Linked DNA regions of Daphnia pulex. The protein of the gene in region 2 interacts with the protein of the main gene of each other region in a pairwise test. Links are inferred from orthologs where the notes say so. Each region holds a gene or a part of one and is shown on either strand. Other genes may lie near its edges.

Region 1 (15,094 bases), on a different chromosome or scaffold from region 2:
TGCAGTCACTTTGGATGCATCGCCAGCGTGACCCTCCACTTTAACTTCAAACGGCGATTTGGGAATATCCAATCCGTTGTATTTCACCTAAACGTGAAAATGATTTAAGCATGTGAGTGATTTGTAAATAAATTGTTTAAGTGAGTCTTACGATGACGCGGTGAACACCTTCCATTAGAGGCGTGTAAGAGCACGCGTACGACAGATTGCGGTCGTTGTTGAACTTGACCTCAGCCTAGAAACGCCAACAACATTTTTATTGGACCAATTCAACTGGAATTTATGAGTCTAACTAACTTACAGCGATCTTTTGACCGCGGGGATCATCCACAGACACTTCGACATTGCCTTTACCGGCCGAAAAGGTTTCGACGGTGAAATTGGCTGGTGCTCCGACAACGGGGCCGGTTGGCTCAACACCGGGACCGTAAGCACGGACCCTATTGTTATTGGTTGTGTAAAATAAAAACCAGAATTAATTCAAAAATCCAAGGATGAATAATGAGAAACTATACAGGATGTACAATTTGCGACGACACCAGATACATGCTGTCAATAAAGCCGTGATTGATCTAGATATTACTATAACAGTCGCAATCGAGTCTGCTTTAAAGATGACATATGACGAGGACGAGCGTTTACATTTATTAGAGCTCTTGATTACGGATATGATTGTTGTTTTTATTGATGCGCTTTTTTGAATAGTTTTGGTTTTTGTTTAAAATTTTAAAAAAGATCTTTGGTTTTGGCTTGAGATAAACCACGATGCGGGACTATCAGCGGTTCGACATGCTGATGAAAGTGTGAAAATATGTAGGGTGATTCTCATGTGATTTCACGAGGCAACAGATAGCGAGATAGAACGTGATAGATGAATTCACGGGCAGTAGTAGTACCTGGGTGGAGCTGGTCTGAATATTCAAACACACGCCCACGTGTTTCGCAATGATTTAATACCGTTCGCATTAAATTGTCACGCGTACCGTTCGCGTAGAGTTTAAAATATGGTCGCAAAAATAAAAAAAGAGAAATAAGAGAAAAACATCAATACGAGTTACCCCAATTTTTCGTCCTGTTTCCAAAATAATTCAAATTGATTTAAAGAAAAGAAAAGAAAACTGCCACACCGGTTGGCCGGTGATTTACCTGTTGGGATTGGCTTTGGGGCGGAGAGGGGCGTTGGGTTGCAGTTTGGCATTTGGGTACTGCGACAGGTAGGTCATCATGGAGAGTTCATCCACATTGGGGTTAACCATCTCTTCGGGTTTGACCAGCTGGAAAATGTTTTGGGTAAACGCCATATTTGTGAGAGAAGGACGGATGAAAGTCAAGACAAATGGCGTCTAACATACCTGAGGGATCTTGAGCCAATCGTCGGCCAAGCCCATGGCTTCAGTCGCATTCTGTAGGGCATCTTTGGGATCCCAATCGCTCCAATCGGGACACAAACCTGTTCCACACGCACCAAGACAGAGAAAGTATGAATATATACGTCAAACAAAATCAAACAGACAAAATCGCGAAATTCTGGAAATTCGTACCGGGAGCGACACCGTCAACGAGGGCACCGATGGCGCGTCCATCGTTCCAGTCATTGGTGAAATTGGTGATGGGCATATCGGGGATCTTGGACTGGATCCATCCCATCAATCTGTTGTTTTTATCCGATTAAAACACACAAAAGACATGATTTATGATAAAAGCCGTGTGCGATGATTTAGCGATAAGCCATATAACCATATGGCGAGAGGAAAATAAAAGAAGAAAAGAAAACGGAAATCTGCATAGAATATTGGGCGAGTTGATTTCGTACCGTTGCTTGGGCGTAGGTCCTTTGCCGTCGCGGCTGCCGTCGTCTCCTTCCCACATGGGCATCGAGATGGAATAGTGCAAGATGAGCGTCCATATTAGGCCAAGGATCAATTTTAATTTGCAGTCGACGATGTCGCTGGAATCTGCACACAACAGAGAACGTCATTTGCATTACCACAAATGTAAATTGTACGGCAGCTCCAGCCTATATACAACACGCTCAACCGAATAAGGTGGCCACACGCGCGCGCGCTCGCCATCCAGCCGTATATCCAAATCAAAGAAATATTCGGTTACGCGTGACATGTCCATAACGAGGTATATAGAACTTGGGGGTAATAGAAATAAGGAGAGAGACCCATATACATATCACAAGGGCTCCATCTTGCCCCTGTGTATATGTCATGACGACGGCCATAGGGAAAAAAGTGATAGACGTACACTATGCATAATCTATGTAGGAATCGTTGGCTTTCCAAGCTATCCACGAATAAGCTGCGTGTCGCTGTCCTCCGATGAAGGAAAGAAAAAGAAAAAGGTAGAACCAAAACCCAGTGGGTCACCTCAGCCATCGCCGGCATGGCCATACAAGGCAAAAGTTGGGACTTTTTCTTCTTTCCTTTTGGACGTCAGTCTGTCGGTAGACGGCCTTGCCATAGAGGGTAGTCCTCTATGACCAAATATGGCATTCTAGCCCCCTCTTTATTCTGGGGATGGTAAAAGGAAACATTTTCTTTCCCTGTGATGACGGGATGACGGCGATGATGTCGATCCCGTCGGCTTTCGGGAGAAAACAACAACAGGAAAATAAAAAGGCGTCGATCTTTTCCCATCTAAGGTTACCAATGCTAGAGGGGTGGCTCGACGTGACGTTTACAGAGTAGTTTACATGTTCGGAAAAAAAAAGGGAATAAGAGCGCGACATGTTTGACTGGCCAAACGACGGACCACAACACACACGCACAAAAAATAGCGCGGTGAAGTCTAAATATTCAAATGTCTGTGTTTTTTTTTTCTTCGTCTTCTCCCATCCATCCATCCATCTCCAAATAAAGGTAAGACTGAGTGGGCGCGAAATCCAACTCGACGGCATTACTTCTTTTTTTTTTTAAAAAGCAGAGGAGCAATGGGTTCGGGCGGGACCGCACAGAACGTATATTTCAATCCCGACAGCCGGAAGGTGTTATCTGCTCCCAAACAAAATCACGAAGAATAGACAAAAAAAAAAAAACATTCGAGGAATACGGACAGGTATTTATTATTATTTTCTTTTTTTCTTATCTCATTACCCTAATCGAAAATATTTCGACATACTTTGCATTAGAATATGATGCATAACTGCTGCAGACTCTTATTCCTCGATATGGTCAAGTGAAATTTCGGTTATTATTTATTCAAAACGACGAATTTGTAAACAAACCAGAAACTCAAAAGGGAAAAGCGTTTTGTTATGGTTGATTGTTGCTGACTGCTGCCGTTTTTACGACTATTTTTCAATTCAACCCGAGAAAGAGAGAGAGAGAGAAAAAGACTTGATCGTTCATTGACGTCAATACAAGGATTTGACAAAACCGCGGGCCTGCGACCTCGGTCCATTTCATTGTACACTGTCCCAGCTGGGAAGAGGTCGACAGTATCTCTTGTTTAAGTATAGCCATTTCTTATTTACCCGCAAGACTTTCACCCTACTCGCCATGTTTGAATGAACGAGCTAGCTAGCTAGCCACTCCTTGTAGGGTATTTCTCATCCGCACCATTATAATAATCTTCATTCAGCCAATAGATCAAGTTAGTGGCGGAGACTGAAGACTCTGGCGGTGGGTCCCGGTTTTCTTTTTCGTTTGTTTGTTTGGTTTGGGTTTTTGTTGGTCCACCTCCAAGCCGGACGACAGAGCGAGGACGAAAAATGCAGATTATACATCTGTGGGTTTCTTCATTCGGCAATGATTGGAGGAGTATATAAGAATACCGAGAAAAAAGAATCAGAAGAAAGGAATGATAGAAAAGAAACAAGTTGCAGGTGACGTCGTCTAGCGCGGGCACGCATGCGCCCCGAGAGAGATCGAATAAGGTCGGTCGGGAAAGAATCTGTTGACCTTAAAAGGAGCTGGAAACACAAGTCAGCAAAAACAGCCATGGAACAACTCTCCCCGCCTATATATTGACTGTAATTTGTAATTTTCTTTTTTAGTTGCTATTTAAAATAAAAAGTCCTATAAGCGGAGTGGAGCACATAGAGAGGGACTGCATTTTCAATGCAGCTCTCAGTGGCTCACTCATCAGCAGTGCTGTCCGCGCGCTCTTTCTGCCGAGCCTGTTAGTGGCCCACTTGAGAGCGAAGAAAAAAAGCTAATTCTTTTAATAACAATATCCAGAGTAGCCCAGGCATCATCGGCAACCACCAGCCACCTATATGCCCAATATGTGGAGAAATGGAGTGAAATCGTGCACGTTGATTTTCTCCGATGAACTTGTCTGCGGGAAAAGGGTCGATGGCAGACTGCTGGCGAACGTGACTGGCGACCGAGAGTCCGCGTTTTCTTGTTTTTTCTGTTTATATTGCAACAACACTTTTAAGTAATGCCATTTGAGATGAAGTTGGAAGAAAACGATTAACAGCGCTAACCCAGCGTCTGTTTTCTTGCGCTTGTTTTTTTTTTTTTGCCGAAATATTATTCACCTGCATCCCCGGCACCATATATGTTTTGGTTAACCGTTCTGGTGTGTGCCTTGCCATTTGAATTACGAAATCAACTGATGGTGTGATCTTTTTTCTTTCTCAAAAGCCGAGGGGGTTATAGAGAGGACAAAAGAAGCAGAAGAAAAACACCGGCGTGACTCGAAGATTTGTTGCGTTTAACTATACGCAAAAAAGAAGGCAATCATCACGGCACCATCGTTTAGAACACAGCAGGGAAAGTTTCTAATCTCTTCTTGTGTGCAGTGTGGTACGTGTTTCTCATGCACAGCCGAGATTTGAATAATCTGGAAGGAATGAAGTCAGTCAATGGTGCGGCCGCATTACCGCCCCCTCAAAAGTCCCGAATCAAAATGGAAGAAAAGCCGCAAATAAATTTAAGCAATTTCAATGAGAAACGTCGTCGCAATAAGGCGCAAGAAGAGGCCAATAAATTCGTAAAGAAAACAAAAGAAGGAAATGAGATAACCGTCAAGACTTGCGTGCAGTCTCCGACCTGCTGTATGTTTGCCAGTAACACAATGAAGTGAATGGCAACAACTGGAGGAAGACTATATACGTATTAGTAGACGAAATAAAGCCAACAGGAAAAATATAAAAAAAATAAACACGAAAAATACAAACAAAACAACCAAACGAAAAAAACATGTTTCTCTCCCGTTTTGTGGAACCAAATAAAATAAATAGCATTGGATCAGCAGGTCCGGGATACGGACCATAATGGAAGCCCACGCAAAGAAACGCGTGGGTCTTTCCAAAACAAAAAAATTACATTCAATCTGTTACGAGTCATTTGTCGTCATATTTTATAGACAAAAAAGGAAAGAAATTCCTTCAGGCTTCAATTGAAAATTGTCCATGTTTTATTGTGTATAATGCACACCGAGTTCGAACCACATGAGAATAACCCAGGAGCTCGCGATTGTAATCGACCTCCTTCTGTTCCGCCGCAACGCCGCATAGAGGAATTTGCGGTTATAATATTATACTGGTGATAATAAATTGTGCTTTCAAGAAGGGAAGACATTTTTTTTTTCTTTCCACAAAAATAAAAACCACAATGTCATAATCATGGAAACACAAAACTGGGGCTATTTCGTGTAGGTTTTTTTGTTTGTTCTTGTCGGACCACGGGCGATCGTTTTGAAATAATTTGACTTGCAGCTTCTCATCCAGACTCCCCTACGTGCAGATGGAATTATACAGCCCTCTCTACTGATGCTCCTGCTGCTGCTGCAACTACGTCTTGCGGTACCTATTATTGTTATTACGGGCGCACTGTAAAAGGTGGCGTTGCGTGCGTAACGGGACGCACGCAACGCAAGCGAAAGGTGTACGCTGCTCGCCCTCTTAAAGTAGGTTATATGCCGGCCAGGGCAGCCTCCCTTCGTCTACCATAACAAACTAGACGGGCAACGCAAGAGAGAATTTAGAGAATAAAAAAAGGAAACATCATGAGGAGACCATATATGGCCACTAGCTAGCGAGGGTTCTTTTCTCTTTGTCAAACTCCGCCTACTTTTTTTTCTTCTGTATCCACGGAGGAAGAAAGAAGAAAAAGAAGAAGAAGCAAACGAAGAAGAAGAAGAAGAAGAAGCGAAGGATAAAGAATCTCTCTCCGGGCAATAATTCAATGGCACCATTGAACGCCCACTCGACGAAAAAATAAAAAAGGAGAAATAGAAAACAACCAAAATACGCCAACCCAATGCGTGAGTGTGACCACTAGGAACGCAAATGGATGTTTGACAATCTCGGGAGGGATTTGATGATGCCACATGGGCCGTTTTTCACACATCAAGAGACGCGCGTAATCCAAGGCAATATAAGAAATCCCAGATTGACAGCTAGCAAGAGAGTCGACCATCGATGCGTCAACTGACCCTTTTCTTCTTCTGGCTCTTTGGAACGGTACCAACAGCCTCTGACCGTCTACGTCAGTTCCATCCCACACGAGAGAAACTTTCCCTTTTTTTTCTATTTCTTTTTCTGGTTTTGTTGATATTCAACGGCGTGTGTTTTATTTCCTGGAGGTTTTTTTTTTGGTTTGTTGCCGGCGTATTTTATTGCGTGTCTTCTTGGGCTCCCACTGAGTTTTGGTTGGACAATCGCACGATGGAAGAGAATAAGCAAAAACAAATTGATACGGGAGGCGAGCGATACGGTCCATTGTATACCATCCAGCGAGGAGGTCCAATCAATGCATCCATGACTGGAAAAACTGGCGATGGTGTGCTACACACACAAAAAAAGAGAAGAACGATGCCAAATTCCGTAGACGGTGTCTAGCCAGAAATCACGCAATCATTTTCCTGGGGTTTCTTTTTCTGACTTATTCCCCCCACCATTTTTCCCGATACGGTCGAGACAGCTGCTTCAAAGACTCTCCCTCCCTTCTTAGAAGCTGCCCAGCGTTCGGATTGGACTGCGACGATGATCCATTCACTGATGAAAAGCCTGGGCGTATTGCAGAATCCCTTCCGTCCGCTTTCTTCTAAACATCCAACAATTTTTTTTTTCATTCGCATGGTCCCGTTTTTTTTTCCTCTTCTTTTCTCTTTACCCCCGCCGCTTATACAAAGTCAACAGCACGGACATTCCGTTGGTATTACGTCGACCGTTCAAACAATCACACAAAAAAGGGCGGGTTAGAAACTGGCAAAACCCGCCGACCGGTCCACGGACTTTTTACCAGATCAAAACCCTCCCGTCAAGCCCAAAGATTCCAGTTCACAAGCTAAGCAGATAACATGTTCGTACTATAAAAAAAAATATAGGTGATATCCCTGATAAGAAATCATAGTTGGGGGTTCTTTTTTAGTCGTGTTGTTGCTGCTCTACAGCGTGCACGTGTTGACTTTAGACCATAAACAGTGCAAAGAAAAACGGCACCGAGGAAACCAAAAAACAAACGCTGCCAACCCTGCCGTAATAAAATGCTGGAAGGAGAAGAACCAAGAAGAAGAAGAAGAAGAAGAAGAAGAAGACGTGGTTGAAATAACACATAACGCAAACGATGGGAGCGCGTGAAGTTTGGCAGATGTTTCCCTCGGTTATATACTCAGTCACGATTTCACCTCGACTCTTTTTTTTTTGTTTCGTCTCTTCCATCCCAGAGGGTCAGAGAAATGTTCCGTTTCTCTGGTTCTCTCTAACTATTCTCTGACTCTCTCGGATGTGTGACATTGAGTACGGCGGATGCCCGACAAATTGATTTGAGGGGAAACAGAACAAGAAGAGGCTAATGTACGGAACGAGCGATGACTCGTAACAAAAAATAGCCAACAATACCAAGCAAATGGTCAGTTGGAAACGAGCGGAAAAGAAAGTGGGACGAACAGAAAATCCACAGAAAAATTACGGAATAAAATTTAAAAATAAAAATAAAATGGGACTCACCAATATTGACGATGCGGATGCCTTCGTCATGCTCCAGGAATTTCAGAGCCACGGAAACGTTCTCGAGCTTCTGCGAACGGAAGGTGGGTTTCTTGGTGTGCTTGGGCAATTTCTTGCCGGACAAGACTTCGACGAGGGCGATCAGTTTGAGTCCGTCCGACAGGTCCGTCTCCAAACTGCCAATGAATTTGTCGACGGTTTTCAGGTGCTCGTTGGCCCATCGTGTAAATGTGTTTTGCTGGATGCGCTTCCACTGGGCATCCTCGGCCAGATCTCGTTCCGTTGCCACCATGACTTGATCGTCTTCGGCGCTGCTCTGTTGTTGATTGCCTGCTCCTTCTTGCTGTTGAAGTTGCTGCTGCTGCTGCTGATGCTGCTGTTGTAACTGGCTAATGACGGACGAGACCACCTGCTCGGCCGGGCTGTCGCGGGCCAAACTGACATCTCCTCCCTGTTGACTCATGGTGTAAAGCCTGTAGCTGCCGCTTTGCTCCCGCCCGCCGGGCTATTCAGATAGAGGCCACAAGACCAGAGTCGCACACACACGAACACACCGACCGATGGGTTCGGTCCAATCACGCTTGTCTCTCGGCTTCGCTCCTTTGGCGATTCAATCGCCACCTGTTGAGTCTAATTTCAATCGAATTCAAAAAAAGACCATTAATTGTGCAACATGACGCAATATTACCTAATAGCGGAAGAAATCAAAGGAAACCTTGAACAAACGGACGAAAAAAAATGTCAGGAAATTAGTTTCTAGCTTTTAGAAAAGAGAAATATCTATTTGGGATAAATGATTCATTTCGTTGGAATGGAAACAAAAGAAAATAGGAACAGATTGACGGGCGTGGTTTGGTGGTGGCACGTTTATCCCCCCCCCCCCTCTCTTTCATATTTTTCCGTTTGGTTTCTTTCCCCCCTCCGCTTTAAGGATGGAATGAGAACAGCTGGATCACTTATAAGCTCGCCGCTAAATTTAAAAAAAATTCGTCATTGCCGACGACAGAAACTACAGCACAGAAAATGAATGGGGTATAACAAACGAACGCAATGTTGTAATCCAATCACCACCTGCGGTAAAGCAATTACCTGTCAACTGGTACATACCAAAATAAGAAATGATTAATTTGATTCGTTTCTGAAAGCCCAAAGGAGTAGTAGGTTAAGTTATTTCCTACAGCGAGTTATTATTCTTCCCCAAGACAGCAATTAAGCGCTCGTATCTGGGCTGCTTAATGATGTTATTTTACCGGCAATTTCATTTGGCGAATGCGTTTACAAAAAGGGGGGAAAAAAGTGTAAAACAGTAGTAGGTGGTTTGTACGTCAGCACTCTATCAGATTTGGGTCAGTCGGCAGGATATTGCCGAGATTTCGGCTTTTGTTGCCAATCTTCTTTTCTTCGTTCATTATTACAACAACTTGTCTTCATTTTTCCTTCGCTTTTCATTCCATAAAAGGACTCTGACGAATTGATTGCCCAACATTGCGGAATGAGCCCTAAAGCCGCCTTCTGCCGACATGTTCATCTTCATTCCTCTGCTGACGTGCATACGAGATGCGTGCCCATAGATGGCGCTGGCGGCGCCAAGCGACACCGATTCCGGTACGAGGATCGGCCAGGACCGTATCAACAAACAGCACAAAAGTTGATTGGATTCCACTAACTTGTCACGTCTTGTCATCCGTGTAACTAAGCGCCCTCGTCGTCGTCATTCCATTGACGACGACGCAAACAAACGAGGATCCAATAACGAAATGGAAGAATTTGTCTGTTTTTTAAACACAACAGAAAGGAAGGTGAACAAAAAAAACAATGTTAAAAGATTCTTACGGAATTGACGGTGACGAATCCTTTGTTGGTTTGCTAAGAATATCCGATACGATTGTTTTTTTTGTTTTTCTTTTTCTCCCCCGATCAATCTCCGTTTGTTCTGGGCTTTTACCGACCGGGAACGGCCCGATGCTCTCGAGAGGGGCAGGGGTGCTGCAACTCTCTGGACCAACTGGACCAACACAGACGCAAAACGGCTAATATGGCAAGCGTTTACCCTCACTGCACGGCACGATGAGAGCGAATGCGAGAAAAAGTGGCGTGTGTCTGTGTCGACGTCTGTTGTAGACAGAAGAGAGAGCGAAAGGTTTTTTGGTTTGTAGGTTTTTCGGGGTGGTGGGAGGGCTGCGCCGTCGTTTCTCTTATAATGTAGCCGCTCCGGACTACTCTCTTGCATAGATCCCGTTCGTCTCTACGACGGATTTTTTTAAAAATAGCCCACGCCATCACCGTTTCAGAAATTCTTCGCCATAGCGTGCGCGGGTGGAGGAGGAGGAGGCGGTAGAAGGAGGGGGGGGGGGTCGTCGTCGTCGGTAGGAGTGAAGAGAGACATTCCTCCCACACCGACTGACAACAGCCCCCGAAAAGAACGGCAGAGGTTAGGAAGTGGTACAGCACATAGGAGGCAGTTGGGAAAACAAAAAAGATGAAGAGAAAAATAAAAAGGAGCCGAGGGGAGGTGACCCCACAGTCTACTTATACGGGGATGATTCATTCACGGTTCGAAACGTATATCGCTATGACGTGCAGAGCAACCAAATAAAAGAGAAAAAAAAAAAGACACATACCTTAAAAACTGAGAACTGTTGACAAAATCGTTAACTCCGATTCGGAAAGACCTTAAATGGGCCAGGGAATTCGACGTCTGAACACGTCGTTCGAAATTGCCCTCCTCCGCACACGCACAACTTTAATCCAACTACACCGACAGACAAAAATGTCGCGGCCGCTTCCAGTTGTTCCGTTACGTCTCACCCGCTCCTCACAATCGACTGCGACAACAGCGATAGACGACGACGGCCTCCATCGCTGGCCGTCCCGAAGGCTGTAAGGCATTTTCAGCGTTCGGTTCAGCGGACCACGATGATGTACTCTCTCCGCACCTTTTCTTCTCCCCTTTCTGAAACAATAATACATTATTTACGATGTTGGAACTCGACTTTTTCAAAAAAGGATTTCCTTCTTTTTTTTTCCATCAAAGAAAAGCTACGCTTCTATTCTACACAGACACTCAACGTCTCACTCTGCACGCGTGCGTTATTCTTTTTTTTTTTTTGTTCCCCGCGTTCTCCTCTCTCCTCCGCCGGAACGGTCGATCCTTATATAGACGCGTCGAGGGAAAAAATCTCTTTTTGCCCGCGCTCGATGTTCAAATAGGTGAAAAAAGTACTTACACTCAACACGCTCAACGACGCACCACACACACACACACACACAGAACCAACGGCAACAGCATAGCCGAGCGCACGGCGGGATTTCATTTCCAGCCGTGCACGATTGTCCAGCTGGCTCTCGGCTGGTCATCATTCCACATCAAGTTTGACCAAAAAGGAAGGCAAAGAAAATCTTGGATCGTAACAAAAAACGATGAATAATAAAATAACGGAATTTCATACGAATCGTGCTGTGCGCTATACTCTTCAGTGTCGAGTGGAAAGTTACGAAAACGTCGGGGATATAACCGCAACTCGCTTTCGCTGCCACCTTGAACTACAACACGAAGAAACAGCATATCATCTATACTTACTTGCATGAGAGAAGAAAATGTACATAAAAGTCGTTCCGATCCGCTTCACGAAAACAGAACCGATACGATTGTCTTCAGATAATCTTTCGGTTCCGCAGCGCGATGAGCATCAATACTCGGTCATAGATCCAGACCAAGAAAGAAAAAAACAAAGTATTGTATTGTCTTGTTAGTTTCTTTTCATTTTCTCTTCTTTCTTTTTTTTTTTGTTGCTGATGTTTAATGGGGCGAGTTAAATAACAGGACACGGGGCAGGGGCAGGTGGGATAGTAAAGAGAGAAAATGGGGAGTGTGTACAATATCCGTAGAAGAGGACTAGACTACAAAACATAGAACATGTTTGTTGTTGGTTGAAATTTTTCATAAACTCCTTAAGATCCGAGGCCTCCCAGCGATGGTTATCCATCTCGCCGGACGGTTATCCGCCAAAGACCTTAAGGAGGAAACGTGACACAAAACTGGGGAGCAGAACGAGTAAATCAATGACCCATCAAATCAATATTATGTGATCCACTCTTACTCTTTCAAGTCGAAGACGCGCGAAGCTGAAAATAATGTCGTTGGCTGGTGAGAAAAATATTAAACTTTCCCTCACACACAAGAGAAAGATGTCGACGATAATGAGCTGGTGGATAGACAGAGGTAGGACGGACAGCAAAAGAAAAAAAAAAAAAGGAAGAAAAATCATTGAGGGGAGCCTATTATTGCACGCCAACTATGCCGTAAAACTAAGCATTTGAAAAACAAAGAGGAACAACATTCTTCGGAGGGGTGTGTGTTTTGTGTGACAGTAGAAAATCATGGAGAGAGAGAGAGATAGCAAAGGAAAAAATAACTCTGCACAGGTCCTGTTAGAAGGTGGAGGAAAGAGGATTCGACTCTCCCCCTCCCCACCGACGTTGTACGTTTTACATACACACACAGAAAGGAGACTAAGCCATTTTCTGTAGCGTTGACGGAAAACACACACTAGTTAATGACATCACTCTTTTGTCATATTGATGGCACTTGGTAAAATTAAAAAGCTGCTGTCGCTAGCAAATATGTTTCAAAAGAAAACACGAAAAAAGGGATATTATCTGCATATCCCGCCATTTGCGTAGATAGAAGTAATTGAAAAAAAAAAAGCTTACAATCGGTAGAAGAACAGGAAAAAAACAATTGATGATGATGATGATGTTTTTGTTGTTGCTGTTATTGTCTCTCTCCTTATTTTTCTTCCGTGTTGTCCGGCAAAATCTCTCAGGGCTCGAATGTAGCCGTCAGCCGCGAGAAGAAGCGGTAGAAGGCCAGGAAGAACGAGATGAACAATACGAGCAAGGGCATGAGACACAACGCCGTCGCCTACAGAAAACGCGCAGACAAACACGAAAAAAAAACAAGAGGCACAGCAAAAAAAAAAACAAAAAAAAACAAACAAACAGAGAAAAAGAGAAAGGAAAATAATCGATGGATCAGCTTTTTTTTGTTCTCTAATGTCCACCGTTAGCATAAATTTCTTACGTCAATGCGGTGTTAGTTTAAGACGAGAAAAAAAAATGAAAGTTAAAGAATAAAGTAAATCGAAGCAAACATACAGAGCGAAAAATGTTTTGTTGTTTTTGTTTGCGTTGTTTTTTGGCCACGGATATTGAACTAACAAAAACAATAAATTCATCTCTAAAATAAATTTTGAAGGCACATAAACACAAGTCGACGAACGAGAGAAAAGAAAGCCAATAATAAGAAGGTAACAAATACAGCTGAAGAAAAAAAATGTGAGAAAACAGAACCTAAGCGAGAGAGAAAAGGAGAATCCAAAATCAAGCAGACTATCGAAGAATTCAAATAGCTTCTTATTTGTTTTGTGTTCAAATCCTTTTCTTATTCCCTCTTCGTTCAGTTTCACGTGAGGAAAAAACAAGAGTTGACGGACTCTCAGCTGACAAAAAGAATATGTCTTTTAGAAGGCACACACATTTAGTTTTCTAAAGGAAGACAAAGGATGAAATAGAATTGGTGCTTCCCCTTTTCTGTCTTTTAATTTATCGTTATTTCAATCCGATGGCCTGAAAGCTATGAGGACCGCCAAGACAAGGACGGCCAACGGGACTACATACATCCAGCGGCCAACCTAGAAAATGCATTCGGCATTCAAAAGAAAAGAAAAATAAAGAGAACAGAAAAGAAAAAAGAAGAATGGATGGATAGAATTATCAACGAACCAAAGAATAATGAAGAAAACTTACAAATTAAAATTGTGCATAAAACAGTGAAAGAAGATTTGGAAGAAACGGAGACTGACTGGACTTACCGTTTTTGACTGAGAAGATAGTAACGAGTAGTTGTCCTTTAACTGGGAGAATTCTTCTTCTAGCTCCTTCTTTTCCGTTTGTACATTATCGTAGTGGCGCCGTAAAGCTTCGAGTTCGTTTCGTACCTCAGACAATTGCTTAAAATAACAAAAACAAAAAAACATAAATTAAAAACTGTGCCTCAAGAAATTTTCAAATAAAATTTCGTTTTACCTGCATGGTAACATATTCTTCCGAATTAGCATCTTCTCCGGAATTAAGTTCCCGGATGCCAGAATCTCTCATTTCAGGATCACGGGAACTCGGTGGATTACTGATTGGACTGCTAAATCCGCTAACCACTCCACTGTCCCGATTCTCTACGCTGAGAGCTAGCGACTGGTAGGCTTGTTGCCATTTCTGGCGTTCCTCAATTTGCTCTATCCTCGACACTTCCATCCTAAAAATAAATAAATAAAAAAGGTTAAATAGAAAATTAATTATGGATAGAAAATGTTTTCTTGTTACTCTTTCAACTGGATGGTGAGGATAGCAACTTCGTCCCTGAGATATTCCAATTCTGAGGTTGAGCCTCTATGAGCGGTGGTTTCACTGACACGATTGGCTTTCTCTTCCTTTTCGTAATTACTTAGTCGTACTGAAATATCGTTGTTGCAAATGAAGTATTTGGCATAAAAAAGTGATAAAAAAACTCCTTGCTTACAGGTCAATAGCGAAATAAGATCCTTATTCTTCGCATTAGCTTCTCGAAGTTCTTGGTACTCATTATTGAGTGAAACGATACTGGAACGGACGAGCTCAGCGAGCTCAGATGGTTCATCAGCGGATTCCTCTTCCTGCTCAGATGAGCCTTTGAGAACGTTGTGCAGGTTTCTAAAGTATTGCTGTAGATGTGCGGCTGTAGACCAACCATCTTGTGCCTCTAGCTGCCGTCTCTCCACTTCTGACTCAAGTACACGGCACTTGGCGCGCGTTTCTTCCAAAAGCTCTGCACCAATCCAAACAAAGGAATAACTTAGCCATCATCCATTTTCGTAGCGAACAGCTAATGTAAAGCTCGACGCGATCAATTTAGCAGAGTAGAAAAAAGAGACAGCAAATGTTCCATGTCAGCCAAAGAAAGAGAAAAAAACAAAATGGGCAAGCAGCAAAAAACGCAATGAAAAGCTGGAGTAGAGCCAAGAAAGAGTTAGTACAATTCACCTTGTAAAATTAAACTACAACATGCCAACTGATTGCGGTAAAGATAACAATCCCACGTGCATGAACCTACACACATCAATTAACAAAAAAACGTCAAGTATCCGAACA
Region 2 (15,136 bases):
GAAGAGACAGGCGAAAGCGTTGGCTCCTTTCACTCGGATATGTACAACAAAGGAGAGTAGTATAGTAGTAGTTGAGAAAATAAATGTCTCTCTGACTGGATTGTGAAAAAGAGAAAAGAGGCTTTACTTCCGACCGGAATTAGATGCAAGACCACGGACCAGAAGATTTTTGGTTATTTTACATTTCCTTTTTCCCCACCAAGATGGACCTCTGCTGCGTGCGTGTTCCAATAACCATGGAAACCATATAAAAAAAAACCCAAAAATAACATTTTGTCGGCAAACGGGAAAATCAATCCGCAGGTTAAATCTATCTTCGACGACCTCTAGCGTCTGTCCGGAAATGGCCATTTCAATTGGGAGAGAAAACAAAAAGAAAGAACCTATGTTCCGGCGACGACATTTAACACTTTGACGCATTGACGTAGAATGTCTTTTATGTATACAGTCCAGGAAGAAGACGTTAGGAGGGAGGGTGACACGATTAGTCCCTCCTTAAACTCCATTTTTATTAACTGCTGATTGAATTCTTCCCTCTTCTTTTCTGTTGTGTGGACTCTCGACTGGTAAATCCATTTGAATTGTCCCCCTCTCTCGTAGAGCGGTGGCACGTGCCTCGCCTAAGAAATCAGCCGTCTTCTTGATGTTATTATTACAGCTGGGCCCTTTATAACACTAATGTGGCAGCAGTCAGCCGACGTCCAGTTTTCCTCTCTTTAAGCTTTTTTCAAAGCTTATGCCATAACACACAGAACAGGAAGAAAAAAAATGGAAGGTGGAAGAAGTAGAGAGGGAGTTTAATGAAGCGAAGAACGTCAGTGACAGTCCAGACATCATCGGATGATCATTCATTGCCAACCGGCCGACTTTGCCCGTTCGTTTAATATACACAAGGATAGGCAACCTTCTTTTTCATTTCTTTTCTGCTCGCTTGTGACTGGCACGTGGAACCCCTGAACAAAAGCGACGACGAGTACGACATCGCCCCCCCCCCTCTACTCCATAACCAACACCTTTTCTTCTTAGCTCAGTGGCGCGTCTCTCTTGACGCGTTCCTGATGGCGTCGCTGGCGTCGGCTTGCGTGACATAATGGAACCCCCCCCAGCCGGCCTTAGTCATCGCCCCCCCCCCGTTTCCATCTCGTTATTCTGCAAAAACACCAGCCCTCCTCACTCTCTCCCTTACATTTCATACAATATTTGAAGGCACAGTATACAATAAAAGCGGCCCATTAATATTCATCGTGCTCATTTGCTGTGTGTGTGTGTGTGTGTGTGTGCGGTGCAGACAACAAGGCGCGGTGCCCCAATATTGGATTTTTAATTATTTGTTTGTACCGCGGAAAATTCATTCGTCATCTATCGTTGGGCTAAAGCCAAAAAAGTTCAGATAATAATAAACCATCCGACTTTTCATGTCCATGATCCACCGCAGCAGCTGAATGCGATCTGAATGAGATTAGATCAAGTCGATTGAAAATAGAAAAAGTGGCAAACAACATTTCACCCGCGAAATGATAAACACAAACAAATTGGATTCAAAAGAATCTTCCAATGAAAAGAAGCGTTGAGGGGGAAACTAACTAGATGATGGAATACATTCTCCTGAAAAAAAAAAAGAAATAATCTCTCCCAAGTTAAAACTGACTGAGGATGGGTTTCTCGTTGTCAACTTTTTTACCCATGGTCTTTTCCAATGACGTTATTCCCGTTCAGTTGCGTAAACATTCAAGTCCATTCAACCAAACACCACAGTTTTGCGTCTAATGGTACCTTATGCCCTCGCACTTCTTAGCTTTACACGCCGGTAAACAACAATGTCCAAATAAGGTTGTTTTTTTCTTCTTCTCCGGAAGAAAAAAAAGGGCCTATTCCGTCATCAAATGAATAACATGGATACACTAACAACCCACATACGGGCAAAACTGCGTTAGTAAATAAGATTTGATTCTCTCTTCTTCTTCGTCTTGATGTATTCCTCGAGCTGCAATCTGCATGTCAGCGCCTTTTATTACAAAACTTTGCGCTAGGAGAGAAGAAGAGTGGATATATGTGGGTTGCTGCTGCTGCTGCTGCTGCCGCACCCGGTCCATTATCAAAAACGACAGGCGAGTGACATTGATCAATGGCGACGTCAGCAGTTTCTCTCTCTCTCTCTCCCCTCGTCCCCGCGTTACAGTGAAAGAAATTCCCCTCAAACTTGAGAAGGTGATATGATGATGACGCTATTACCCGCTTCGTAAATATTTTTACTATTATTTATACAGCAGTTACTATTTGTATTTATTTCGGAAAAAAAAAAAAAGATTTCGAAAAGTAGAAAAAAAGGGGGAAAAGATTGGCGCTGTGCCAGCACGTACAACGGGGGTTCCTCCTCCCATGTTTTTAATGCGACGCGTACGATGGAGTCTAACGGACGCCCGGGAATATACCGTCCGTGTGGGAGGAGGACTAGTAGATCGTTGCGTTCGTGAGTTGGAGGGGGGGAGAGAACAAGAGAGAGCTTTCAAGAAGACAACAACACCACCACTCGAGCACTTTTGACTGTATACGATCAAAAACGAAGAAGAAGAAGAAGAAGAAACGGAGGAGAAAGGACAGTCGACATTTTCTTGTCGACACTTTCCATATAGCGCTTCTTCTTCTTCTCGCCCCTTTTCCCGCCGGCTTCGCTACATATACACAGGGCTCGACACTTACATTTATAACAGCATTCGACTCGGAAAGAATCGCGAGCACCACTTTTCTTTTATTTTGAGAGTAAAAAATAAAAGGGGGGAAATCGATCGATCCGGCCTACTGATCATCGATTATTCAGCCGACATCAACTTCCATTCAGATTATTCTGGTGTAGTCTTAGTCTTTAAAAATAGTAATATCTTGATGTAATAACATATCCTGGCAAGAGTCGAGAACAAAGGAACGACTCTCAGTACGGAATGGAATATACTACATCAAAAAAAGAAGAAGTGTGTAGTATAGAGACGTAATGCCAGTACTACAGTAGAGTTGTTGACTGTGATGACTTTCTTTTGTTGCTCGGGGCTGCACCAACAATTCCCATTCATCAAAGATATGATTGGCAACCAAAGCTCCACCCCTTTTTGCTAGATCCTCTGTGGCGCCTTTCATTCCTGATGGCCCAAGAAGAAGAAGAAGCAGATAATAATAACCAGACACTACCACCACTGAACTGCTGCCACTGTTCCTCTTCTTCTTCTTTTAATCACATCCAGAAAAGAAAAGGGGTACAGCCCGAGCACACATGTGTGTGTGCTCGTGGCGTCAATGCAATATGATAGAATGAACCCAAAAGATAAACATCAGCCGCTCTGTATGGTTATATAGGCGACTATACGCTGCTTCATCATCTTCCACCAGCTCATTATAGGAGAACTGACGGCCGCCCTTAACAAGGTAACCTTCTCTCTACAACGCACTGATTGAATGCTGTGTGCGGTTTATGATGCTCTATCGAACGGAGGGGGAAAAAGTTGGCGCAAAACTATCCCAACATTGATAAATCTTTCAACGTGTAAAAACTTTTCTCGGTCAGAAAGGAAAAAGTCACAGACTTGTTTATTCCTGGTCCGAGGGATTTCAATTTTCTTTGTCATCAAAGTTTAGTCCGTCCGCGCTGCTCTAGTGGTGGAACGCAACATGAAATCGTCGACTGGAAATAAATTTATTATTGAGTTTGTCCATCTATATATATCCGTGTTGTAGGATGGCTTTCTTTCCTATCTACGTTGTATTTAAATGTTGAAACAGGGTCCGCAGTTCCATGGCAAATCGAGTTGGTTTCAGCCCATGCGCCTCAGACTCTTCTTATACATTCAATTTCGACGTCCTCTTGTGATGCCTCCACATCTCTGTATTATATTATGGAATGGAACTTGGGTGGATTCGAAATTTCCAGCACGGCTATCTGTCTCAATACTAGACGTTCCATACACACACATACACACACATCCGAGTCGGCGTAGGCAGATATGCCGAATGGGCGCCTTTTCCGAGACCCACGTCTCTCCTATACAAACTTGATCGATTCAAATAGATTCAGTGCTGACAAGAGTGGAACACCAGGCCCCCCCCCCTCCTCATCCAGTCGCCTTTCTATTCCTTCCAAACACTCAAACTGGATGGACGTACGAGTCGTCGTACAATGCACACAAATCAAGCGAATAGAGAGAGAGAGAGACGAATGGATACACATATTATACGAGTGTATGGCTCGTACACGTCTATACTATACGTGAATACCAAATTCTGGCCTGCAGGATACAATTGAAAAAGGAGCCGACGAAATTCAATTGACAAGAATAAGAAGAAGATTCCCAAAAGTTGTATAACGAGGAGGACACGACAACACGACGCCTACACACAACTTGCTTACATTTCTTTATTTTGCATGTCCAATAGAAACTGATGGCTCGGCAGTTGTCGGCGGGAAAAAGAAAAAGAGAAAAAAAAAACGGGAGCGGAACGACGGATGTACCTTAAACTATAAATCGATCACACAATTCGCATTTCATTATTTTGAAAGTCACTTTAGTATAAAGCCGACTTTCCCTGGGCTATACACTGTGTTTGGCTTGCTGTTGAAACCTGGGCAGAACGGAGGGAAGAAATAAAAGAAGAAAAAAAACATCCATCCATCCATCCCCCCTCCTGTACAGCCCTTTCTCCGGAGGAAGCCGCCAAACGGCTGATTGCATTCGATTCAGCACAGCCTCTTCTTTCCCCCTCTTCTTATTCCAACTAGGGTCCTCTAGTCCAGCATGCACCATTGTCGGGTCCATGAAGCCGACGTGACGAGATTAAGGGAAATGTGTCGCGTCTTCTCTGACCAACGAAGAAGACGCAATTTCAATGGTGATCACGTCTTTCAGTCCCGACGACGCTCCCTTCTTCTTTTTTTTCTTCTCTCCCTTTTTTTTTAAACCAGTCGATTGATCGTCCAGTTTCTAAAAACTGCAAGGACTTTTATCATCATCATCTTTGTGGAATCACTACAAGATAATAGCGAATCTGGGCAAGAGCTTCATCCCCAATAATTAACCAAAATCGTCTCCAGTTAGAAGGATTCTTTCTCTTTGGCGGGATCGATTGATTTTCGCGCCCGTCCAGACACACAACTCCCCTCTTTCCTGTGAAAAAAATATATCCCCCCCCCCCACACACACACACACAGACGAACGGCACACACGAAAAAGTTAATCAAGTTCTTCTCTCCTTAATTGGTGGACGACTGTGAGAGGGGAGAGAGACAAATAGGCCCCAACGCGACCCCAGATCAACTAGACCTTTTCAACCAATCTGGTATGAAGAATATTATTAGGGAGTAGGTTGAAAACTAAAAGAGACTCTTGAAAAATCATTGAAAAGAAAAAAAATTTGAGGTCCCAAAGTCCCACAGACAACAAGCCATTAAAATTTGATCAAGAAAATTGAAATTTCCATTTAATCAAAAGTGATTTTTCTTTCTTCGGGAGTATAAATATAGGGTGTACAATCAAGGTAACAAAGTTGGCGCACGCAAAGAGTCTTAGCTCTAGGCTACTATTTTAAAAGGGTTGTACAATGTTTCTTTTTTTTTTCTTCTCCCTTATTTAATCCTATTTGTCTCGCGTGTGTTACCAAGTTAAGCTAATCATTCCCCTTTTCGTCTTCAGTTCTTCTTCTAAGACCATGAAGAAGATACAAGAGACCTATGGGGACTTAACACCTTTGCGAAGAAAAAGCATTTGAAGCCCCATACGAGGGGCTATTAAAACAGTTTTTCTTGGCCGACTACTAAAAGGAGGGACGAAGAAGAGCCTTAGACAATACACACAAACAATTTTCGAGAAAAAAAAGTCTCTTTTTGAATTCCACGTCTCAACACATTTTTTTTTCTAATCAAATCAAAACCAGACAGGTGTAAGAAACGAGCGTTCACTCAAAGTTAACATAGACACCGACAACAACTAAAACCTTTTTCCTTGCGTTTCTCCTTTGTGTTGAAATATTTTCATTCTCAAACTTTCGCCGCTTATTTTTTTATCTCGTAAAAATAAAAATTTACTTTGACGTGCCGAAAAGGAGCCGAAAAAGAAACACACAAGAGGAGAGATGCAGTAAATAATAAAAAAATCTTATCCGGGATTATAAATACCATTAAATAAATAAAAAAAAAGGGCCACAGCAGCTACTGCGACGGAACACCCAGCAGGTACAACAACCAAAAAGTAGATAAAATATTTTTGAAAAAACAGAAATATTTTCGCAGAAAAATAACATTTCGGGAAATTTGAACGTTGACAAAGAAATAGGAAAACAATAAATATTTCCCGACAAGAGAAAATTTTAATTTGTTTGAGCGTCGAGTGGTGACGGTGGTGGGGTGTGGGTGGTCGGAGGAAGGAACCCACAGACGTGCTCATTTGATATTATGATATCCCCCCCACTCCATATAAATACACTCTGCTCTTCCATCATAGCCCCTCGTTCATTATAATACCGGAACCGACGACCGCATGACTAATTGCCAGTCGGGAGGTGGGGGCCATATGATGGAACGACACACAGTTCAAGCAACAAGAAGAGAGGGAAAAAGATTTCACGTCGTCGTGTGTGCAATATGGCAGGCATTAATGAGTTGGTTCACGAAAAAAAAGGGAAATGCCATCTCCTTTTTTTCTTCTTCTTTGACTTCGTGAAAATTTGATTATATAACATTTCCACCGCCTTTCAGCGCACTGGAAAAGAGCGGATGCAGAAATTTCGTGGTTGTAGCTTTTTTTCTTCTTCCCCTTTCATTCGTAGTAGAGGGTTTGTCCGGTATGTATTTGTATATATTTTTATGTGTGTCTCCTTTATTCACGAGGACACATCGCCGGAGCGAAGCAAGTGACGTGTAAAATCAAATTGCACGGGACTGACTACTACTAGCCGAGTCAACTCTATATGGTACCCAAGGCAAATGGCACACACACGGGGTTTTTTTGGGGGGAAGAAAACATAAGAAGAGAGAGAACCTGTGTGACAGGCGGGCCATCGTTCGTTCTTTTTTATCGATTCCGCTTGACTTCTTTTCTTTTCTTTTTCTACTTATATTCCTCCAATCTGTCGCGCACTCATCCTGTCCTTTCGAATCGACTTCTACTTGGTTAAATATTCCGCCGTGTGTTGCCTGTCCCGAACGGTCCCGATGGGAGAAGACCCATAGTAACCGCCCCAAAACAGACAGGGCAGCTGCAAGACATAGTACAGAGCTGACTACAACAACCGTCATCTGCACTAGAATATATACCTGCGTGGTCTCCACGTAGCAGCATCCCCCTTTTTTTGTTTACCGCACGAAAAAAGGTAAATAAACAAAAGAGATTACACGAACAGTTGTTTTTCAATTCCTCTGTGCCTAGTCTAGTTATTATTTATTCTATCGTGCGGAGCAACGACACCTGGCGGAGCTAAGCAAACGATTTCTTTTGGCCCCCTCCCCAGTGAAGGGGGTAGGCAGAAGATGAGAAAAGAGGTGGAATTAAGGGAAGAGCTTTCTCTACTCTACGAGATCGATTCTGTCATCAGCCGAGCTAATAGGAATCTGTTTAGATGGACGATCCTTTCGGTGGTGGTGGAGAAATCGTCTTCCTTCTTCTCTCTCTAGCCCACGACGATGATGATGATGATGGAATCAACGGATCAACCTAGCGATCCTTCCTCGCGTTTCTTTTCTTTCTATATAAATATATCTGCTCCTCTTGTTGTACACATTCGACTGACTCTCTCTCTCTCTCTCTCTCTCTCTCTCCCGGGGATATGAGAGAAAGAGAATAGGTTCTAGCTCTCCCTCATCCGCAAATGTTCTCCGCCATGAACGTCGACTGGTAATTAGACATCGATCCGAGAGAGATGCGACTGAATCCTATGATGATGATGATGACAACGTCTGACGAGGAAAGATGTCTTTTTTTCTTTCCCCCTTTTTTCCCCGACGTTGCCTCTGTGGTGGGAGGACTTATCGAGTGTGTGTGTGTGGCAACCGATGGGAATACAACGACTGTCTGTCTCTCACTGTCTCAATCGATTATTCATCATCAACATGAGCGGGAATTGAACAGGGGATATGGCGCAGAGAGAAAGGATCACATTCAAGAGATGATGATGATGATCCCCAAATTTTATTCTTTGACACGATCCTACCCCCCTTCATACAAAAAGAGCAGTGGGGGGGGGGGGGGTGTACTACGGTATACGCTTGTGTTTATTTTAATTGAAATTTCCGGAATGAGTGAATTATTTTTTGTTTCGGGAAAAAAAGGGAGTGTGCAACAAACTTCTGGCTGTCGGTTAGATTTTTAATGAGCATCGCCACTCTCTGAATACGAGACTTTTTACGGCGGATATCAATATTCAAATAAGGAAAAAATCAAGGGGAAAAGATGAAAGAAAAATAGGAAATGAACTGCGCACGTAGATAAGTCAAAAGTAGCGGGAAAATCAAGTTGAACAAACAGACACAAAAAGAGGGAACCCTGCATCTCTGCAACAGGATCTTGCCTTTTCAATGTACCGAAAAAAAAACCCGGATCCCCCGGACGCGCGCTCTTCCCAATGTTTTATTTATTTGTTTCTCGACATCCAACCTATACTAGACTATCCTGTATATAAGAGATGGCTCGTCTCCTTTCTAACCCAGCTGGAACATGCATTCCTTTCTATTTTTCCCTATTTTTTTCTTCTTCTTTTTCGTCTTGTTTCCGCTGCAGCTGCGGCCGACGATCGCTCCTGATGTTGTTTTTTTTTTCCGTTTCGGGACAGGAATCCCGCAGCAGGAGACGCCCACCGCGGCCCGGCTATACCTGACGTCATAACTTTTCAGTGCGAGAGGAGGTTCGGTGTCATTGAAGGAGCTCAAATGAAGCCCCCGTGTAACAAAATAGGAAAAAGGAAAAGTTTGTTTCGGTGTCGTGCGATACGACGGGTATATAGAGGGGGGATGTCAAAACAAGAATCCAACTTTGGCTTAACTTTTCTGCCTCCGTAATAACAATAACAACAACAAAAAGAGGAAAATTTTTTCCAAAAAGACATTTCTGATTAGTCGCCTCTGAAAATCTTGGCCCAGCTTCAAATCGAATTGTGATGCTGACTCGCTATTATTACAATCAACTCGAATGTTTTTCAATGGGAAGATAAATCAAGTCAATTGTGACATAATCAGGTCATAACAATTCCTCCCATGAGCATCCGTTACGATCGAAATTTTTCGCTGTTTTGATGGTTGAAAACGGAGGAAACGGGGCGATAACCGAGAATCGAGATAAATGTCAACAGAGAATCTAGCACAGCGTCGGCTATACATAATATCAATAACGTTCTGTATAATAAACACATCGATGGCTACTGTGGTGCATGTGATACAGTTAATATTAGACAGAGAGGGAAGGAGCCCCCCCCCACACGGTCAAGAGGTCAACAGTCCGGACGGATGACTCGGGCCAATGAAATCAAAAGGAACAGCTGCTCTGTTCGTGTTGCTGCTATCAGCGATAAACTCTCGGCCGGCCAGTCACCACCTCCTCCTCACAGCAGGCCCCTCTGGCAACAGCAGCCAAACTTGTGGCATATTCCAAATAGCTCGAGCAAGGATCGACTTAATCAACGTCTCATTTCACGGATCGCATCCGTCCTCGCACTGATTAAAACTCTTCATTTTTTCTCCCCCCTTTTTTACACGCGCAAAAAAACCGGATGACGGGCGAGCCTGGAATTCCATCGACTATACAACAACTTACCAAGACATCATCCCATCCGTCGTCGCTGGCCGACGTGACGACCCACAACTTTTTTGTTGTTTTTTCTCGAGGACTGTCAATTGTTTTTATCTTCACTTATTTGTTGGCTGTCCCTTTTCCAAACAATCAAATCACTCAAATTCAAACGGGAAGAAGAAGAATGACACGTCCGGTGATGATATTAGTTGGCAAACAACTCGTCGCTGCTGGTCTACACGAAATGACGGCGTGACTCCCGCTCGATAAACACACAAAATAACTTTTATTTTCCACCCGTTGTCCGATGTCTTCACTGTCTAGCAGACACACACACACAAAGTTACAAGAATAAAGTGATTTTTGACGGCTTCTCGACTTGTTCCCCCTTTTTTTTTACCAAACACACCTGATGACAGCCGCGAGGATGGCAAACGGCACAGTACAATAAAAGGAAGCAAGAAGAAGAAGAGAAAAAAACCCTTCAAAGTGCGAACGCGGGAACGCGCTAGTGTCGACTCTGACAGAGGCTAAAGCCGACTGAACCCTCGTTCTGGCCCTTGGGCTGATTTTCAATAGAAGGAGGAACCTCTCTCGCAAGGCGAAGCGCCGAAAAGAAGCTCCCAAGACTCGTATGTGTTCCTCACTCGTACACACATAGTAGTCATAGTAGTAATAGTATATAGTGTCTGTGTGTGTACACACACATTGGATCTTTTTTCCATGTTTGAAAAAGAAAAATCGAAACCCTTTCGCAGCTTTTCAAAGGTCGTCCGTCTGTTACAGGGGAGCCACTCAAACCCAATTCACACACAAGTAAAACCCGCGGAATCTTCAAAAAAAAAGATGACAAATTGAACGGTCGCGCTTGATCGCGTACGCAATCTCCTTTACCCCCATACACATCTAGCGTGTACGCCAAAGCTCGTTTTCTCAAAGCCACCGTCTTGTGCGTAATACAATCCCGTCGACGATATTTACGAAAAAAAAGTCGAGTGATAAAGAATCACCAGGATCAGATTTCGCGCGTTGAATACAATAAGCCAAGTTTTTTTCCCCAAATCAAATCCAAGTTGATGATGATACATCAGGTGATGATGTCATCAGCTTTCACTCGTGACATTCATTTCTAGAGACTCTGGCGGTGCGGAAGGAAAACGGGTATGAATCCTGGATTTATACACCGGGGGCGGTACGCAAAAAGAACGTCTAGTAAATCAGTCTGAGCGGAGAGGAGGGAGTTGATGTGGGGGCGTCTCGTCTGGTGTAAAAAGAAGAAGGGAGAAAAAAAAGCGACGGAAATTGCGAATTAGAGTGAGGAGTAGCAGGCTTCCAGTGGGGGGTGGGGGGAGAAGGAACGCGTGATTGGGTCGACGGCGCCGCTTTTTTTTTTATATCCTGTTGAAAACACGCGTCTTGTTCGTCTTCTTCACCCGTTTTGTTATTGTTTCCCTTTCGCTAACATATACACCGACTCGGCGCGTCAGCCGGATATATAATAGATCCCTTCGCTATACTTTTGGCTCCCTCCGTATTATAAGCAACAACGCCCTGCGTGTGAGAACAAGAGAGAAGGAAAATTTCTCACTGGTGTTTTTAAAACTTTCGAAACAATTTCAGAGAACAAATTCGATCGATAATCGATTAGAGTTTTTCTTCCCCCCCTTTTTTTCGGTCGTCGATGGAGAATTGCATCAAAAGTGTCTGCAATGAAGGAGAGACCCCCCTACAAAAAACAAAAGAATCGACGCGCTTCATCTCCTTTCAATCAGAAAGGCTATATCGAATGATGGCGGGGTCGCGGTCCTCAATCTTGTGTATCTATTCGACGACGGATCGATTCTCACCAAACAACAACAACAACCCCCCCATCCATTCCTAATATTAAAAGGCGTTGTAGCTCCAAGGCCTCCCTGTGATGATTGGTCGGCGGAAATTGGCCTTGTTTGCGTCCAGCAACATAATATCCAAGCATGGATCCTTTTTGACTATATATAGCGATTCAACAGTCTCGATTCAACAGCTTCGAGAAAAGGGGGACTGTATAAGCTTTCCACAAAATAGGTTGCGTAAGGATTTGGACCCTACGATCCCCCCACTGGGCAAAAATCGAATTCAAGGCGGCCAGTTGACTCGACAAAAACATTTCAACTAGATGGGAAAAGGTTTTACTTTTTTCTGTGTGTGATCCTTCCCAAAAGATTAGTCGAATAGAGGGAGATACAAACGTGATTTATACACACACACACACACACATGGAATTGTGTGCACAGTATTGTGTTCGCGAAGCTTTTTATATTTTTTTATCTTTGGGCATGCTGCTGCTGCTTTGTCATCTGTTTTCCGTCTTTTTCTTTCCCTCGGTCGACAAGTCGCCGACTTCTCTTTTCTTTCATCTTACAGAGTTACAGATCCATCCGATCCGGATTGGATACGTCCAATCGGAGAGGGGTGAGGAGGATTTTTTCTCCCTCCTACCCGCGCTGATAAAAAGAAGAAAACACAAGGAAAGAAGACAAGGAAAATAGAAAAAGAGGTTCAGAATGAGATATCGATCCGCACTCTTCTCCATATAATACTAGCAGAGACTATCGTGGGCTGGGTACCTTGATTCTCTGACTCTTCTTCATCACGACGCAATCTCAATTCATTTAGCCTCTACGCGATAGACAGAAATAGATATTCGTCGCATTCTTCTTTTTCTTCAGCCCCCGAAGAAGAAGAAGAAGAATGAAGAAAAGACAAAAGGCTTGGGCTGTTGTTGAAATGGCAGAGTCGTCGAGTATTTCTCCTTCATATTATAAGGAACCCGGAAACCTACGTGGTGCAAGAAAGAAGAATGCCTTCCCTCCTTATTAAGAATGCTCCTGATGCTGACATTCTCAGAAAAAATCTAATCATCCGACAACTTGTTCATTTGTTTCTTTCCCTCCCGGTTCAATGTCTCAGGACTCTCGACGTAAAATCGTGATAGTTTCCCGTATTAGCATATTCCCAGTCTATAAATGGTGAACGCAATCTTGTACACAAATCGCCGATACCACACACACACACACACCAGCTGTTGTTGGTCCCCGACTCCCGGATCGGTATTAAACAAATCGTCCCGTGCGGTCGATCAGGCCAGCAGCAGCGGATTTCTTTCTCTTTCCGTCGGTATAATCTCGTTTGTTCTTATAGCTCTATCCTTTCCACCCTCCTCCCATCAAAATCTCGCTTCTTGATCCCCGGGATGTCGCCCGCCGTTGCCGGGATCAATGCGCAATCAATATCAACGGCTCGGAATAAATCACGGCGGACCGCTTTTGTCAACCGCCCAGCATTCACCGCGGGCAGGTAACAATAATAGAAATGGTCTACTCCTACCGAGATGATGATTCTGTCGTTACATCATCACGTTGTGTGGGGGGGAGGGCAGACCAATATAATTTTTCTAGGTGGTTGGAGACATTCAAAGTTATCCAAGAAGCCCAACTGGGTGGAAAGGGAGGGGAGAACCCCACAGCGAAAGAAAAGCCATTCGCTTGTGTATGGCAACCAAAAATACAAAAGGGGTCGATATGTATCCTGCAAAGAGGAGGCTATAATGCCATCTATCGCATTATGTATACCCGGGTAGGGGGGGGGGAATGGAATAGAGTGGGAAGTAAACAAGTTGCTAACAAGAGCAGATGGTCAAGTCGTAGACACACACAAGAACGCGCAACAGCGACGCTAGTGGCCAGTATCGTGCGTTCATCGCTTGGATAGCATGAACCGCTGTTTCAAGTTTTATTTTTAAATTAAAAAAGAGAGAGAAGAATGGAGGGGCCATCTTTTTGTGTCGATGATGAGGACCAGATAGTAAGAGCGGTTGATTGCTGCTGCCAGGTCTGCCGGAACTACCGCGCGCGGAGCGGAGTGGAGACTTGGCTGTTCTATTCCACCACCAAAAATCTAATTATGAAGTTGGCCAGGATTGAGAACATCGCCCAAGTCGCCCATTTGCATGGCTCCTGGATCTGATAGATACAACTGTGACGGACCCCAACTGTCCTGTCTGCCGTCGACAATCAACCGTTCTGCCTACAGTCACGAGACGGAACCAAAAAAAAGGAGCTAGGGGGAGTCTGTGTAAATGTATGGAGAGTTGGTACAAGTCTCTCCTTGCAGAGTTCCAGATAGAATCGACGACCATCAGGACAAGAATACGAAACGATCCAATCCGCCCCTTGCCCTTCAAGTTTTGTCAAACTTGGCCATGATGTCCCTCTTATATGCCGAATATTTGCAGGAATCATTTGAACGACGACGAACCCCCGGCTGAATTCTGGGCCTTGTTCAAACAAAACATTGACGCGTCCAATATTGTAGTACAACAGCGCAGGGAACAAGATAAAAGGTTATAGAAGGGGGGGGGGGGCACAACAAACATAGGAGGAAAGAAGAAACTCCCGACAGCTTCTCCGTCTGTTGATTCAGCCGATAGGCGTTGAGTCAACTTGGAGACCTGATCTCTCCCTGGTGTGTAACACGATTTGGATCAATCGCATTAGCCATCATCGGCAAGGGAGAAGAAAAAAGGGAGCCCCGTTCAAAAATTCACTGCAATCAAACGGTTCGAGTTAACGTTAGAGTTTAGAAACATTCGAGTTGATGTGGCCTGGAGGGGTGAGGGGTGGAATCATCCTCGGCCGTTTGTAATCAAACCGATAAATAACGATGACCATTCGTCGTCCGCAATAGTGTAAAAGAGAGGGGGAGGGATAGAAAATCCGCTCGGACTGTATTCCAAATGATAACATATGACATGTGAGAGGGGAGGAGGGATGGACTCTGTGCCTAGCTCTAAGCTCCCGGTCAGTGATGAATCCAATCACGGTCAACTTCAAATCTCTTTAGCTATATAAATATACAAGTATCACAGCATTGTCTATAGCGTACGTGTATATTTATATAGAGAGTTCCTATCATATTAAAGTTGGCAACCATATTGATCGTACCTTTCGACCGAAGCAAAAAAAACCCAAAAAGTCCATCAAATCCCCAGAGATTTTACCGTGTTACGTTGGCGGTTCGAGTTGTTTTTGCGATATATATATATTCACTAGGTACTAGTACAGCAGCCCAGCAGCAGACACTACCTACGATAAAGTACTTCCTACACAGAGAAAGACACTTTCAAAGTGTTAAATATATACACACATCAAAGTATAGGACTCCCACACAAACACAAACGCAGGATGGAAAGAAAAAAGGATCCCAAACAATTTGTAAGTGCTTTCCGACGTTGAGGAATGGTTCAAGTCCATCAGAAATGAAAGGAGCATTAGGAAATGCGGGTTTCTCTCCCAGTTTTGCTTCTTTGCGGTTGGTTACATTAGAGCCATTGGATTTGT

Evidence for each region.
Region 1: the proteins of teneurin-m-like (region 2) and filamin-A-like interact in binary tests that used the Drosophila melanogaster proteins (3 or more experiments, as listed by UniProt). The link is inferred for Daphnia pulex from reciprocal best matches to the Drosophila melanogaster genes Ten-m and cher.

Annotation. Positions count from the first base shown.
Region 1 is NC_060020.1:2,401,357-2,416,450, forward strand, and holds the start of filamin-A-like, read right to left. Parts: upstream 10,732-15,094; 5' UTR 10,531-10,731; intron 10,025-10,530; exon of another isoform or gene 9,743-10,024; intron 8,540-9,742; 5' UTR 8,373-8,539; coding exon 7,910-8,372; intron 1,956-7,909; coding exon 1,814-1,955; intron 1,652-1,813; coding exon 1,542-1,651; intron 1,451-1,541; coding exon 1,353-1,450; intron 1,275-1,352; coding exon 1,147-1,274; intron 912-1,146; coding exon 897-911; intron 441-896; coding exon 302-440; intron 236-301; coding exon 152-235; intron 88-151; coding exon 1-87. Other genes in the region: sarcolemmal membrane-associated protein-like, read right to left, coding at 12,732-12,833, 13,783-13,920, 13,997-14,222, 14,291-14,420, 14,487-14,771, 14,987-15,052. UniProt on the Drosophila melanogaster protein: Involved in the germline ring canal formation. May tether actin microfilament within the ovarian ring canal to the cell membrane. Contributes to actin microfilaments organization.
Region 2 is NC_060019.1:8,396,622-8,411,757, forward strand, and holds the start of teneurin-m-like, read right to left. Parts: upstream 10,307-15,136; 5' UTR 9,783-10,306; intron 1-9,782. UniProt on the Drosophila melanogaster protein: Involved in neural development, regulating the establishment of proper connectivity within the nervous system. Acts as a homophilic and heterophilic synaptic cell adhesion molecule that drives synapse assembly.